Linked DNA regions of Mus musculus: all the other regions are reported to be linked to region 2. Evidence: microRNA targets listed by miRTarBase, many of them from high-throughput screens and not tested one by one. Region 2 holds a microRNA gene; each other region holds the end of a gene's coding sequence.
Evidence for each region. Region 2 holds the annotated microRNA mmu-miR-5107-5p (UGGGCAGAGGAGGCAGGGACA, at 1,054-1,074, shown strand). A microRNA usually pairs through its seed, bases 2 to 8, with sites in the 3' UTR of a target mRNA and lowers its output. Matches are read on the target gene's strand: a 7mer-m8 pairs with bases 2 to 8, a 7mer-A1 pairs with bases 2 to 7 and ends in A, and an 8mer does both.

Region 1: miRTarBase lists St3gal5 as a target of mmu-miR-5107-5p. Seed matches in the 3' UTR shown: 7mer-m8 at 1,058-1,064.
Region 3: the mRNA of Rbm34 is a reported target of mmu-miR-5107-5p. Seed matches in the 3' UTR shown: 7mer-m8 at 1,417-1,423.

Annotation. Positions count from the first base shown.
Region 1 is chr6:72,153,347-72,157,477 of GRCm38, forward strand. St3gal5 (ST3 beta-galactoside alpha-2,3-sialyltransferase 5) reads left to right here. Exons shown (of 7, transcript NM_001035228.2): 7 at 85-1,224. The coding sequence ends at 324. Among named protein-coding and RNA genes, the nearest start is that of Gm38832, 6.5 kb to the right of the region's middle.
Region 2 is chr18:60,811,033-60,815,177 of GRCm38, forward strand. Mir5107 (microRNA 5107) reads left to right here and starts at 1,044; the gene lies at 1,044-1,131. It overlaps Cd74 (CD74 antigen (invariant polypeptide of major histocompatibility complex, class II antigen-associated)), which reads left to right. Exons shown (of 9, transcript NM_001042605.1): 7 at 262-453; 8 at 827-889; 9 at 1,120-1,620. The coding sequence ends at 1,130. Tcof1 (treacle ribosome biogenesis factor 1) reads right to left here. Exons shown (of 25, transcript NM_011552.3): 23 at 3,926-4,020; 24 at 3,491-3,536; 25 at 2,723-3,156. The coding sequence ends at 3,510.
Region 3 is chr8:126,945,442-126,949,568 of GRCm38, reverse strand. It overlaps Rbm34 (RNA binding motif protein 34), which reads left to right. Exons shown (of 11, transcript NM_172762.3): 11 at 26-2,397. The coding sequence ends at 334. Tomm20 (translocase of outer mitochondrial membrane 20) reads left to right here and starts at 3,648. Exons shown (of 5, transcript NM_024214.2): 1 at 3,648-3,965. The coding sequence starts at 3,845. It overlaps LOC115486982 (a long non-coding RNA gene), which reads left to right and starts at 3,972. Exons shown (of 2, transcript XR_003947623.1): 1 at 3,972-4,127.

The sequences.
Region 1 (4,131 bases), not on the chromosome of region 2:
TATATATTTCTCAAAAATGAAATGAGTTAAAAATAATTGAAATACTAATTTTTTAATGCATAAACTGGTCTGTGTTCTTCCCAGAACATCCCCACGATCGGCGTCATTGCCGTTGTCTTGGCTACACATCTGTGTGATGAAGTCAGCCTGGCAGGCTTTGGCTACGACCTCAGTCAACCCAGGACCCCTCTGCACTACTTTGACAGTCAGTGCATGGGCGCCATGCACTGGCAGGTCATGCACAATGTGACCACAGAGACCAAGTTCCTCCTGAAGCTCCTCAAGGAGGGCGTGGTGGAGGACCTCAGCGGCGGCATCCACTGAGAACTCGGAACACGGCAAACCTCACCCAGCACCGCAGCTGAGAGCGTGGTGAGCAGCCTCCACAGGGACTTCACCCTGCAGCTGCTTCGATGTGCAGCTAGTGTTTTCAAACTCCACATTTTTTTTAAAAAAGGAAAAGAAAGAACAACAGCAACAACAAAAGCTCTGCTCTGTGCACCTCTTCGTCCTATTTATTTGAAGTCAGTGTTGGATTTTGCACAGTTTTGTAAGTTAATCTTAAGAATGGGATTGGAAGGACTTTTCAAAGAGAATTGTATAGTTTATTGTTTTTTAAGGAAGTAATTTAATTTGCAGAAACTGTACACACGTACTCTGCTCAGGTGTTGAGGTGGGAGGAGAGGGGCTTCTGGCCCCTGGATGATGGCTGTGATGCCCGATACTGGGGTCTGCTGCTCTGTTTGGTAGAACTGATGGCAGAGAAACTTCCTGCCTCCAGGATAAAGGGCTTACTCATCACCTCTGGCAGCTGCTAGACAAGTTCATAACCCCTTTCTGCTAGTCCATCTGCCAGCTGGCTCGCAGGACTCAGGCAGGGCAGCTGTCCCGGAGGCTGCTGGTTGGTGAGCCACTGTCAGCTGAGCGCCGTGATGTTGCCCCAGGGTGGAAGAAGCCACACTTCCTACACTGTCAGGGCACTTTTAAACTTCTGGAGGGGTGTGTGTGTGTGTGTGTGTGTGTGTGTGTGTGTGTGTGTGTGTGTGTGTGTGTTCATTCTGCCCTTCCAAATCATCTAAGTGTTATTTAAGGCACTCTGCTGTTTGTATGAGATGGTTCATAGAAATTATGACAAAGCCTTTGTTATCCAGGCCATGGGAAGAGGAAAAAGAAAAGAAAGAAAGAAAAGAATAAAAGCTTTTGAGGAGCCCCTGTGATTTCCTGACTTTGAGTGTTTGTTCCTTCATTCGTTCATTTTAGGAAAATCTCTTCATTCTCTGCTAAGTGGAAACCTCGCCTGGATGCTGTAAAGTGGTGGTCAGATAGGGTGCTTCACTCCTAGCTGTGTGATCTAAGTCATGGGTCCCCTCTGGAGAGGCGATGGGTGCCTTAACTTTCAACACTGGGACCAATTCCATGAGCAGAGCAACTTACTAAAAGAAAGCATTTAATCTGGGGCTCAGGTTCCAGAGGGTGAATCTGTGACCTTCACAGGGAGCATGGCCGCAGGAGGCCGGGACAGTCGCTGAGAGCTCACATCTCACAAGCACAGGGCAGAAAGAGCTAACTGGGAATGGGGGCTTTTAAAACCTCAGAGCTCACCCCCAAGTGACACCCCTCCACCAAGGCCACGCCTCCTAGTCCTTCCCAAACCAGTGGGGGACCAAGCATTCAAATATGAGCCCCTAGGGACCGTTCCCCTTCAAACCACCACAGCAGTTACCAGTTGCCTCTCTGCCAGGCTCTAGCTTGTCCGTTCAGTGGCCTGGTCCCTGGTGTCAGAAGGTGTATGCAGCTGTTTCCATCCATCCGCTGTGCTGGGCCTTTCCTCTGTAGTCCCTCCCTGCCAATGCCCTCCAGTGCCTCCCTCGGGTCACTCCACTGCCCTGCAGCCCCAGGGAATCCTGTCCCCAGTCCATACCAATACTTGTCCCATCAACTTTCAGGCCTGGTCCTGCTGCCAGCATCCTCTTCAATGTTCTATCTGCATCTGTATTGTGTCTGCCCCCTCCCTCCCATTTTTACTTCCTCATAGACAGTGAACAAATGCCATAGATAGATAAAAAGGCTTCCCGGAGACCACAAGCCAATAGGAGATGGTGTGAAAGCATCTTCAAGAACATTTTAATCAGCTCTGGGCATGAACGTGCACATGTGCATGCATACCTGTATGTACATGCAGGTATATGTGGAGATCAGAAGCCAACCTCGAGTAGTGTTTCCTCGCTTGCTATCCACCTTTTAATTTTTGAGACTTGCCAAGGAGGTCAGGCTGGCAGGCCAATGAGCTCCTGGGATCCGTCTACCTGATTTAATTACATTTCAAACACCGTGATAAAGGCAACTTACAGAAGAAAGAGTTCATCTGGGGTAAGAGTCGGCCCTGGTGGAGCAGAAGCAGCAGGAGGCGGGCATAGCAGTTGGAGCAGTAGCTGAGGGTTCATATAAGAACTGCAAGCAGGAAACAGAACTAGGCCCACCCGCAGTATGCACTTCCTCTGAAACCTACCCAGACAGCACCACCAACCTGGGACCGGGTATTCAAATGCCCGAGACTATGGCGAGCATCCCATGCAAACCACCACACTGTCTGTAGCTCAAGTTCTCAGGCTTATGTGATAAGAACGTCACTGATGAGCCATCTTCCCAGCCCCCAACACCTAAGCATCCCTGACTGCACCCCCATACCTGTTTGTGTGGAAACAGACCTTCTCTAAGGTTGACTTCCAGTAACACCAGTCACTGTCACCTAGAAGACAGAACATTTGAGGCACACTGCTAATTGCTAGTGTTTGAGCCACTTTGGCAGGCTAGATGTGGCCTGTTTATTCATGTGCTCCTAGGAAAACATTGGGTGAATTTTACTTGTTTTGTTTTTACCTGCAGAGCCTATGCTCCATCCTTATATTAAGTGTAATTAGTTCTGGCTGTAGGGATGCTTTAGGGATGGCAATACGTATGGGGTGACTCATGGTTTTGGACAAAGCTCAGCCAGAACCTTATAAAATCATGCCACTAATGCTAGGCCTCTTGCAATTCGGTGTTCCTCTTGTTTCTACATAAAAAAGCAACGTCTGTTTCCATAGATCATGGGGGAGAATGTGTCTTCATTATTGGTTGGACCCAGATTAGACTACTCTTACTGAATGATGACATCTTGGTCACCAGTGGTTTGAGTAGCAGCTATGACCCTAGTTACTACAACAAAAAGCAATTGTTAAAGTCAAGAATCCCTTTGCTTTAGCAACATTCCAGTCCTTTGGTTCCTTACTAGATATCAAAGGAATTATAGAATTTGCCCTTGTATTATCTCAAGAGAACATTTTAGACCAGCATTGTAGCATAATTAAGGAATGTGTCTTATATCCTCTCCTTTGAGAAGTTCCCTTCATCCAAATGTATGATCTGTGTGAGCGGGCGAGTGTGCAAGTACACATGAGTGTACATGAACATAGATAGATACATTCAGGAGGTATAAACACACTCCTTATATGAAGAAGATATGAATTTGTATTCACGAAGCAATGGACTCATACAACCAACACTCAGTGGAAGACTCAGAGAAACCAGAAAGGAGGGCTACTTATTAAACATGCATGGCTACTCATTAAATATGCATGGCCACTCATTAAACATGCATACACAGATGCTTTTGACCATGCTCTCTACAGGGAAAGTGCAGGCTTAACAGTTCACTTGAATTGTCTGAATAAGATTTTTACTAATTCCCGATATTAAGAAATTTCTGAGCCAGACATGATAGTGCACATCTTTAATCCCAGCACTCAGGAGGCAGAGGCAGACAGATCTCTGTGATTTCTTTAGGTCAACATGGTCTACTAAACAAGTTCCTGGACAGCCAGAGCTGTTACACAGAGAAACTCTGTCTAGAAAAACAAACAAACAAAAAAAAAAAAAAAAGGAAAGGAAAAAGAAAGAAATTGCAATCTACTGAGCAAAGAAGAAAGATATGTCCCAGTGTGATAGCTCGACTACGCTATGTTCTTTTAGTTACTGTTCTTAAAAGCATGTTTGGAGCCAGAGATGTCAATCTGTTGATAGAGTACTTGCCTAGCACACATGAAGCCCTGAGTTCAGTCCCTGACATAAGCTGGCACAGTGGCACGGGCC
Region 2 (4,145 bases):
AGAATCAAACTGTAACAAAATCCAGAATAATTATTCACTGGGGCAAATGACACCTATAAGTCATGCTTTCTCTTTTTGGATCTTACTGGTTTCAGACTCAGGCCTCAGTTTTCTCATCTAGGCTATGGGTCTACCCCATAAGGAAAGCAATTTGGATAGGCATTAAGCCCATGGCAGTGGTGTGTGTGTGTGTGTGGGTCTCTGCTCTGCTGAGATCCTGGCCCAGAGTCCACCCACTCACTGTCTTCATCATGCCTTCAGTACTGACCAAGTGCCAGGAAGAAGTCAGCCACATCCCTGCCGTCTACCCGGGTGCGTTCCGTCCCAAGTGCGACGAGAACGGTAACTATTTGCCACTCCAGTGCCACGGGAGCACTGGCTACTGCTGGTGTGTGTTCCCCAACGGCACTGAGGTTCCTCACACCAAGAGCCGCGGGCGCCATAACTGCAGTGGTAAGCAGGGGACACCGTGTCACATAATCTAAAGGACTAGGAAGCTCTAGGAAGGCCAAGGGTCCAAAGGTCCCTCCCAGTATACATGGGGTCAGGACATGGGTTGGCTGTGCCCTGGGAGCATCCACCATCAGTCACACACACACCAGCCCCTTTCTCCACACAGGAACTCCTTGTGTCCTTCTAATCTTTGTCTCTTCTTCTCCGCACGCTGTCCTGCACTGGAGTCCCACAGACCCACCAGTCTCACTGTATCCCCAACCACACTGTATGCTCTGGTGCCTCCTTTGCCAAGTTCAAGGCACAGTGGCAACAGTGTGTGTGTGTGTGTGTTGGGGTAAGAATAACAGTGAGCCTGATGCTTCCCTTGCAGAGCCACTGGACATGGAAGACCTATCTTCTGGCCTGGGAGTGACCAGGCAGGAACTGGGTCAAGGTAAGGGGGGGATCACAGAGGGGGCCACCCACATGCAGACTCTGGTGACACTGGGACATTCATCACTATCACTGGGATGGTTTTTCTAGAATGGGATGGTGGCTGGGAGCACAGTACTACCTGAGCTTAGCAGGGGGACAGACTGATCTGCAGTTCCAAGATGTTGGGCAGAGGAGGCAGGGACAACAAACTGGTGGCCCAGCTGTATCAACCTGTGCTTCTCTTCCCAGTCACCCTGTGAAGACAGAGGCCAGCTCTGCACAGCAGCAGCGCCCCCTGCTCTCCTGTGCCTCAGCCCTTCTTATGTTCCCTGATGTCACACCCCACTTCCCGTCTCCCTGCACCCTGGGGCTTGAGACTGGTGTCTGTTTCATCGTCCCAGGACACGGCAAATGAAGTCAGAACAGAAGGAGGACGCTGGAGGGCCTTGCTGGCTACCGCTATCTAAAGGGAACCCCCATTTCTGACCCATTAGTAGTCTTGAATGTGGGGCTCTGAGATAAAGGCCCGCAGACAGGGACAAGGGATGCCCTACCCTTAACCTAGGCTGGACACATTTGCTGCCTTCTCCTCAAGGAAGAAGAACCCAAGCCCCTCCTCCCAGTAACCCCTCCTCACATCCTGCCACCCCCCCTCAAGCCCCACCCCCTTTCAGGTTCCTTGCTCAGCCAAGCTTGTCAGCAGCCTGTAGGATCATGGTTCAAGTGACAATAAAGGAAGAAAGTAGAACACTCTTGCTTCTGCCTCTTCAGTTGGGATCCAGTTAGTTTACCCCAAGGCCGAGGACAACCTTAAATCTAATCCTCTACGTACATGGACTGGGGAGATGGGTCCCAGACACACGTGGTGTCTACTTAACAGTCAGAAAGAAACAGACTCCTGCTCGGTTTTAAAATCACATCTCATCACGTCCTAGCTTCCATTCCTCCCGTCCCCAATTCCATTTCTGGACTAAGGACAGCGTAAGTGTGATGACAGATGGCAGTGGACACAGGGACCTAGTGTCAGGAATGGATGCAGGTGGGGGCTGCCAGTGGCTGTCTGTCTGGGCAGGACCTGTGTCTTGTCAGCTTTAGCCCACTGTCACAGGAAAAGGGAGCGGATCCCTCACCACCAGGGACTCCGAGATGAACGTTTAGGACGCTGTTCCATTTTGTAGGTTTAAATACTTCTGCGAGTCAGCCGAGCCAAGGAGAGGCTCTCTGTATTCTGATCTAGACCTACATCCCACACTCTGATCCACACTTGAGAATGGATGGAATGGCTGACTGTTGGGTATGGCGTGCCCGTCCCAAGGCTCTGAGCACAGGGTCCCCGAGACTTGCACCTGCTCCTTCTCTGTACTGGTTTTTTGTTTTGTTGAGGTGAATGTTCAGTGATTATTCCAACATACTTCAGCTCTGCCCACTTCTTACTGTCACCAGCACAGAACTGTTCCCCAGACAGAGGGTGACTCAAGGCCTAGCTCACTGGGTCTTCCCCGCTTCTCATGCCAGCCACCACTGTTCGCCACTGCCTCCCTCCACATCGTAACTTGTTTCCAAAGGCCCCCTGGTCACTTGAGCCATCTACCTGGCGTCTGACCCACCTTCAGCTCCTTTTAAGCTTATAGGCCACTTCCTACGGGGAGCCGTCCCTGCATCAACTCCCTCCCTGGGGAGCTTCACTGAGCCTTCCTCTTTAGCAAACTGTCCTACTCACAGTACCTAGGGCCTTGGCTTGAAGTCAGGAAGGAGCCCTGAGTACTGACCTGTGCATGTCCAGGGTCACTACACTGTCTGTCCTAAGTAGCCAGTAACAGTCCGAGTCCCAGATGCATGGGGAAGGCAAACCTTTATATTTAAAGTCTTTTATTCTGAGTTCTTTAAAAAACAAAACCAAAATAGCTGGAAAAATTGATGGGGCAAGGCTTCAGGCTGCGCCAGGGGTCCAGGGTGTGGGATGAACCACACGCGGGACCTTGCTGGCTCTGCAGATAACATGGAGGGAGGTCCGGAGGCCTCTGGGCACGGTGGATTTGAAGGGAGAGAGGCAAGTCGCTTAAAAAAATAGATATACTATACACATGTCACGTAGCACTCAGAGGGGGTGTGTGTCCCACCTCGCTTCCTCCTGGTACTGCAGCTTCCCTGCGGGTTCACTGGTTTGGCCAGCACGCGCCAGCCATCATCTTCTGCTGAGGGAGGGAAAGTTAAAAAGTCCAGGCCCAATTCACGCTGGCCAGAGGTCAGAGGCCTGGGGATGGATGGTCACACTCTGCCAAGATTCTAGGAGAAGAAAACAAACCAGGCTTTGGTCAGCTTTGCCGACCTTTATCTCCACAAAAGGGAACAAAACCAAGGGAGGGATGGGCGGCAGCTAGCTTAGGCACCAGACTCCCTCAGGGTGGACCCTCTGCATGCTGCAGCAGCAGCTGCTGTCCAACCAACCTGAGGAAAGAAGTCTCTCTCTCTCTCTCTCTCTCTCTCTCTCTCTCTCTCTCTCCCTCTCTCCCCCTCTCTCCCCCTCTCTCCCTCTCTCTCTCCCTCTCCCTCTCTCTCTCCAACTCCCTCCCACTGGGCCTACCCAAGCTGCCCAGAAAGGCTGGACGCAGTCAGGTACCTGCTCTATGCGTTGGGCCTCACACGGCAGGCTCGGCTGACTTCTTCTGTGGGGAGAGAAGGAAGCAAGCTATCAGTTCTGTGGCTTCTCCTCACCACCGCTGTCCCACAGGTCCAGGACAGAACTCCCTCGAAGGATCCACGCCCCCATAGGTGTAAGGATCGAGACCCACTGATACCAGCCCTGGGCAGAACTGCCTCTGATCCCAGGAAGCGGCTGGCTGGCTGTTTCTTCAGTGGGCTCCCCGCTGGCCAGCCAACCTGAAAGCTGACCATTGTCCCGCCTGTGGAGGTCTCTCCCATCACCCCTCCCCTGCTCCTCCTCACAAGGTCCATTAGATTAAGGGACTGGAAAGGTGGCATGGGCCTGGTCTAGGTGTTAGAAGGGGAAGGGTTTGAATTCCTAGCCCTGAGACCCCTCAGGAACTCAATCTACCTTCTTCTTTTTCTTCTTCTGGATCGGCGAGGCAGAGTCTTTGGCCAGGGACTTTTTTCCTTTCTTCTTTTCCTTTTTCTCCTTGTCTTTTTTTTCTGTGGGAAGAAAGCGAGCTTCCTGAGCAATAGATTTTGACACTGATGGGTCAGCGTCAGGAGGCCCACGGCAGCTCGCGGCTCTTAACATCAGGCCCTGATAGGGCCAGGATACCATCCATGTG
Region 3 (4,127 bases), not on the chromosome of region 2:
AAATTAATGTTTCTCCTTATTGCAGAACACAGATGCTGTTCATCTTGCTTTGAAGTTAAATAATTCTGAGCTAATGGGAAGAAAACTGAGAGTCATGCGTTCTGTTAATAAAGAAAAACTAAAACAACAGAATTCAAATCCAAGCTTGAAGAAGGATGTCATTAAACCTAAGCAAAGACTTAATTTTACTTCCAAAGAAGGAAAATTCCATTCCAAAGAAGGAAAATTCCATTCCAAGAATGCATTTATTGGAGAAAAGGCAGTTCTCATGAAAAAGAAAAAGAAAGGACAAAAGAAAAAAGTACAAATGAAGAAACCAAGAAAACAGCAGTAATAACTGAGGTTGCCTCCTTTCTGTGGTGAAACCTTGCAATGAGTGTCTGGGTTTTTTATGGATTATGTAGAAAATGTGGAGGCATCCACGGTGTCTGGTTTTTGTTTTTGTTTTTTTTTTAATTCATGCTATATGTAAGGCTTCTTTGAAGCCTTGTTCTTAGAAATGTATTTAAAGAAAAATAATAAACATTAATACTCTGTGTTTAGGATAAGTGTTCAAATGGTCACTGTGAGAATACTGATTCCAGGTATAGTCACAGTCCCTAAGAAAGACTTGTGAGCTGTGTAAAACACACACGCACATTCTTCACTTCTCATTTTTCTTTCTCTTGCAATTGTAGTATAGATCTACATTTCTTATCCCATATATCTAATAATTGCTAACCAATAAGACTGATAGGATAAGAGTGACTATCTTCTAATTCGTTGCCAGTGACTACAGTGGTCAATGATGTCCTTGGCTATTAGGTGTGTGTGTGTGTGGAGGGGGGGGTGCTCATAAGAAAAATACTCTTCCAGGAAAATGTGATGCTTAAATTAGTATCACTCAGAATGAAACAGCTGTCCCAGAAAGTTTAAAGACAGCATCTAATAAATGATGTTAATTAAACTGCAGTCTTTAAAGTTGAATGACATGACAACATGGTGCTGCATTCCCTAAGTTCCAGACACATCTTACCAAGCTGGGGCTGGATCCAGGATGAAGTGGGGGAAGCAGGAAGCCAAGGCTGATTCAGGCAGGCAGAGTCCAGTAGGCAAGAGGGTAGGATAAGTTTTCACTCTTTTAGTTGTAAAAGTTCTGTCTTTGGGAAATGCCATGTAGAAAACCTAATGAGGTCTTTAAAACATAGCTCTAGGGGCTGGAGAGATGGCTCAGCAGTTAAGAATACTGACTGCTCTTCCAAAGGTCCTGAGTTCAAATCTCAGCAACCACATAGTAGCTCGCAACCATCCGTAATGAGATCTGATGCCCTCTTCTGTTGTTTGTTTGTTTGAGACAGGGTTTCTCTGTATAGCCTTGGCTGTCCTGGAACTCACTTTGCAGACCAGGCTGACCTTGAACTCAGAAATCCGCCTGCCTCTGCCCCCCAAGTGCTGGGATTAAAGGCGTGCGCCACCATGCCTGGCTGATGCTCTCTTCTGGAATGTCTGGATACAACTACAGTGTACTTACACATAAATAAATCTTAAACAAAAAACAAACAAACCCCATAGCTCTAGAGGCTGGAGAGTTGGTTTCTTGGTTAAGAGCATGCACTGCTCTTCAGAGTACCTAAGTTCAATTCCTAGTACCCACGTCAAGCAGTTCACAACTGTCTGTAACTTGAGCTCCTAGGTCCAACTCCTCTAGTCTCCCCAGACTTTGTGCACTTTTTCACTAACATAACCTACACACACATATATACAAGTAAAAAATAAAAGTGTGGGGCTGGAGAGATGGCTCAGTGGTTAAGAGCACTGACTGTTCTTCTAGAGGTCCTGAGTTCAATTCCCAGCAACCACATGGTGGCTCACAACCATCTGTCCGATGCACTCTTCTGCTGTGTGTCTGAAGTCAGCTACCGTGTACTCACATTAAATAAATATTAAAAAATAAATAAAAGTGTGTAGCTTTTACAGCAGAGAAAGCTCTATTTCCTGTATCCAAGACTGGATAATTTATGGTTGGTTTTCCTTACAGTATTTAGAACCTTTTCAGTTAAATTTCAGCAATTTTACCTGATCACTCTGGAGCATTTTTGCATAAACTATATAAAGATGTAACATTAGATTGTGCGTGCATATATAATCTATGTACAACTTACAGCTCCTGTGAGTGAGCAGGTTATATACATGCATAGATGTAACTTTATTTAATATGTGTATGATGTGAATGTGGAGGCCAGAAGAAAACTCTGGAGTTTTCTCCTTCCAAAGCATGGACTCACTCAGCCATCTCACTGGCCCTAGATACTTTGGAATTCGGTACTGTGTAACTGTTGAAATTCCTCCTTTAGAATGTGTGTGCTACTATGATTGTGTAAATCATTAAAAAATGTATTTTGTAGGAAATTTTCTAAAGATGCTTAGTGTAATTTCTTGGTACGTTCTATCTGATAAAATACTTAATAGCCACAAGACTATGTATATAAGTGGTCAAGAGTGGATAGAAGTTGGCTTTGTTATAAAAGTGCTGGCTAAGTACTGATTAGTCATGAGTATGAAACATTTTTTTCTTGTAAACTTTTTTTCTCCCTTAACATAGCTTCAAAAAATCCTTAAAGGGGCTAGAGAGATGGCTCAGCAGTTAAGAGCACTGGCTATTCTTCCAGAGGTGCTGAGTTCAATTCCCAGCGACCACACGGTGGCTCACGACCATCTGTAATGCTATCTAATGCTCTTTTCTGGTACGAAGGTGTACATGCAGGTAGAGCACTCATATGCATAAATGAAAAAAAAAAGCATTCTTACAATGAGAGGTGCAGGAAAGGCTTGCATCGGCTACCTCTTATCACTGTACCCAATTCTCAGAGACTGCAGCATAGCTTGTCACTGTCCCAGGTTTCGATGTTTCCTCAGTGAAGGGAGCAGTTGCTGTACCAGACTGCCTTTCCTTCAAAAGCCAGCCACAAGTGTGGTGGGTGGGTTCGAGCATTAGTAACGAGCTGGTTGGGAATCTTGATGGGGGTTGTGGAGGAGGGAGAGAACGACAAGACTGCAGTTTAATGACGGCACAAATCAGGGCCACCCATAGACTTTTTTTTTTTTTTTTTTTGCCCTTCTGCATTCCTTACAGGTTAAATTTTTTTGAACGAATTAACCCATTTTTCTTCTCCGCACCAGGGCTACATCATAAAATTATTTTGCAGTCAATCATTGTGTCTAATCTCAGTCACAACGCAATTTACAAAGCAAATACTGCCAGATCAGGCGGCTCAGGTCTTCCTTTAAAACCACAGCTCAGAGGATGAGGCAAAAGGATTGCAGGTTCGAGGCCAGGGCAGACTACACAGCAAGTTCCAGACCCTACTATGCTACAAGGGGAGAGCCCGTCTCAAAAACCTAAAAAGCAAACGCATGCACTTCAAGTCACAGGCTTCCTGAAGGACACAGTGAGATGAGATGCTGTTCTCAGCCGGCTCCCACCTTCGTCTTTCATTAGCAAGGACAGTGGATTAGAGGCTTCTGACTCAGCACGCCACAAACACGTGCTGCCCCTGACCCCCTGGTCACGGGATGACGCACAAATCCTTCTGCAGTGCACGCCCCGCCCCCAGCTTGGCGTCTCAGCCGCGCAGACTGGGTCCATCTGCGCGTGCGCACCAGGCGTTCCCGCGCAGGCACCGCCGCGGACAGCCCGCCGCGGACCTTCCCCCGGGGTCCTCGCGCGCCGGAAGTCCTCGCGCTCGGCCTTTTCCGTCTGGACTGGAGGCAGGCGGCTGCGAGCGGCCGGCGTGCTCCGATCGGTCGGAGCTAACCGCTGCCAGGCGGGCTGCCGCGGCCCGGCGTACGCCCCAGTCGAGCGAAGATGGTGGGCCGGAACAGCGCCATCGCCGCGGGCGTGTGCGGTGCCCTCTTCATCGGGTACTGCATCTACTTCGACCGCAAAAGGCGGAGTGACCCCAACTTCAAGAACAGGCTTCGAGAACGTGAGTGGGCCCCGCGCGCCCCCGAGTGCTCCCCGGCGTCGCGCTCTTGCGGCCAGGGTCCCGCCTGTGCCCGCGGGCCTCCATCTTGGAGGCGACCTGGCTCCATCTTGCTGGCGGTGGAATGCATGCTGATTCGGGGGAGGGGTAGCACTTTTTTGCCTT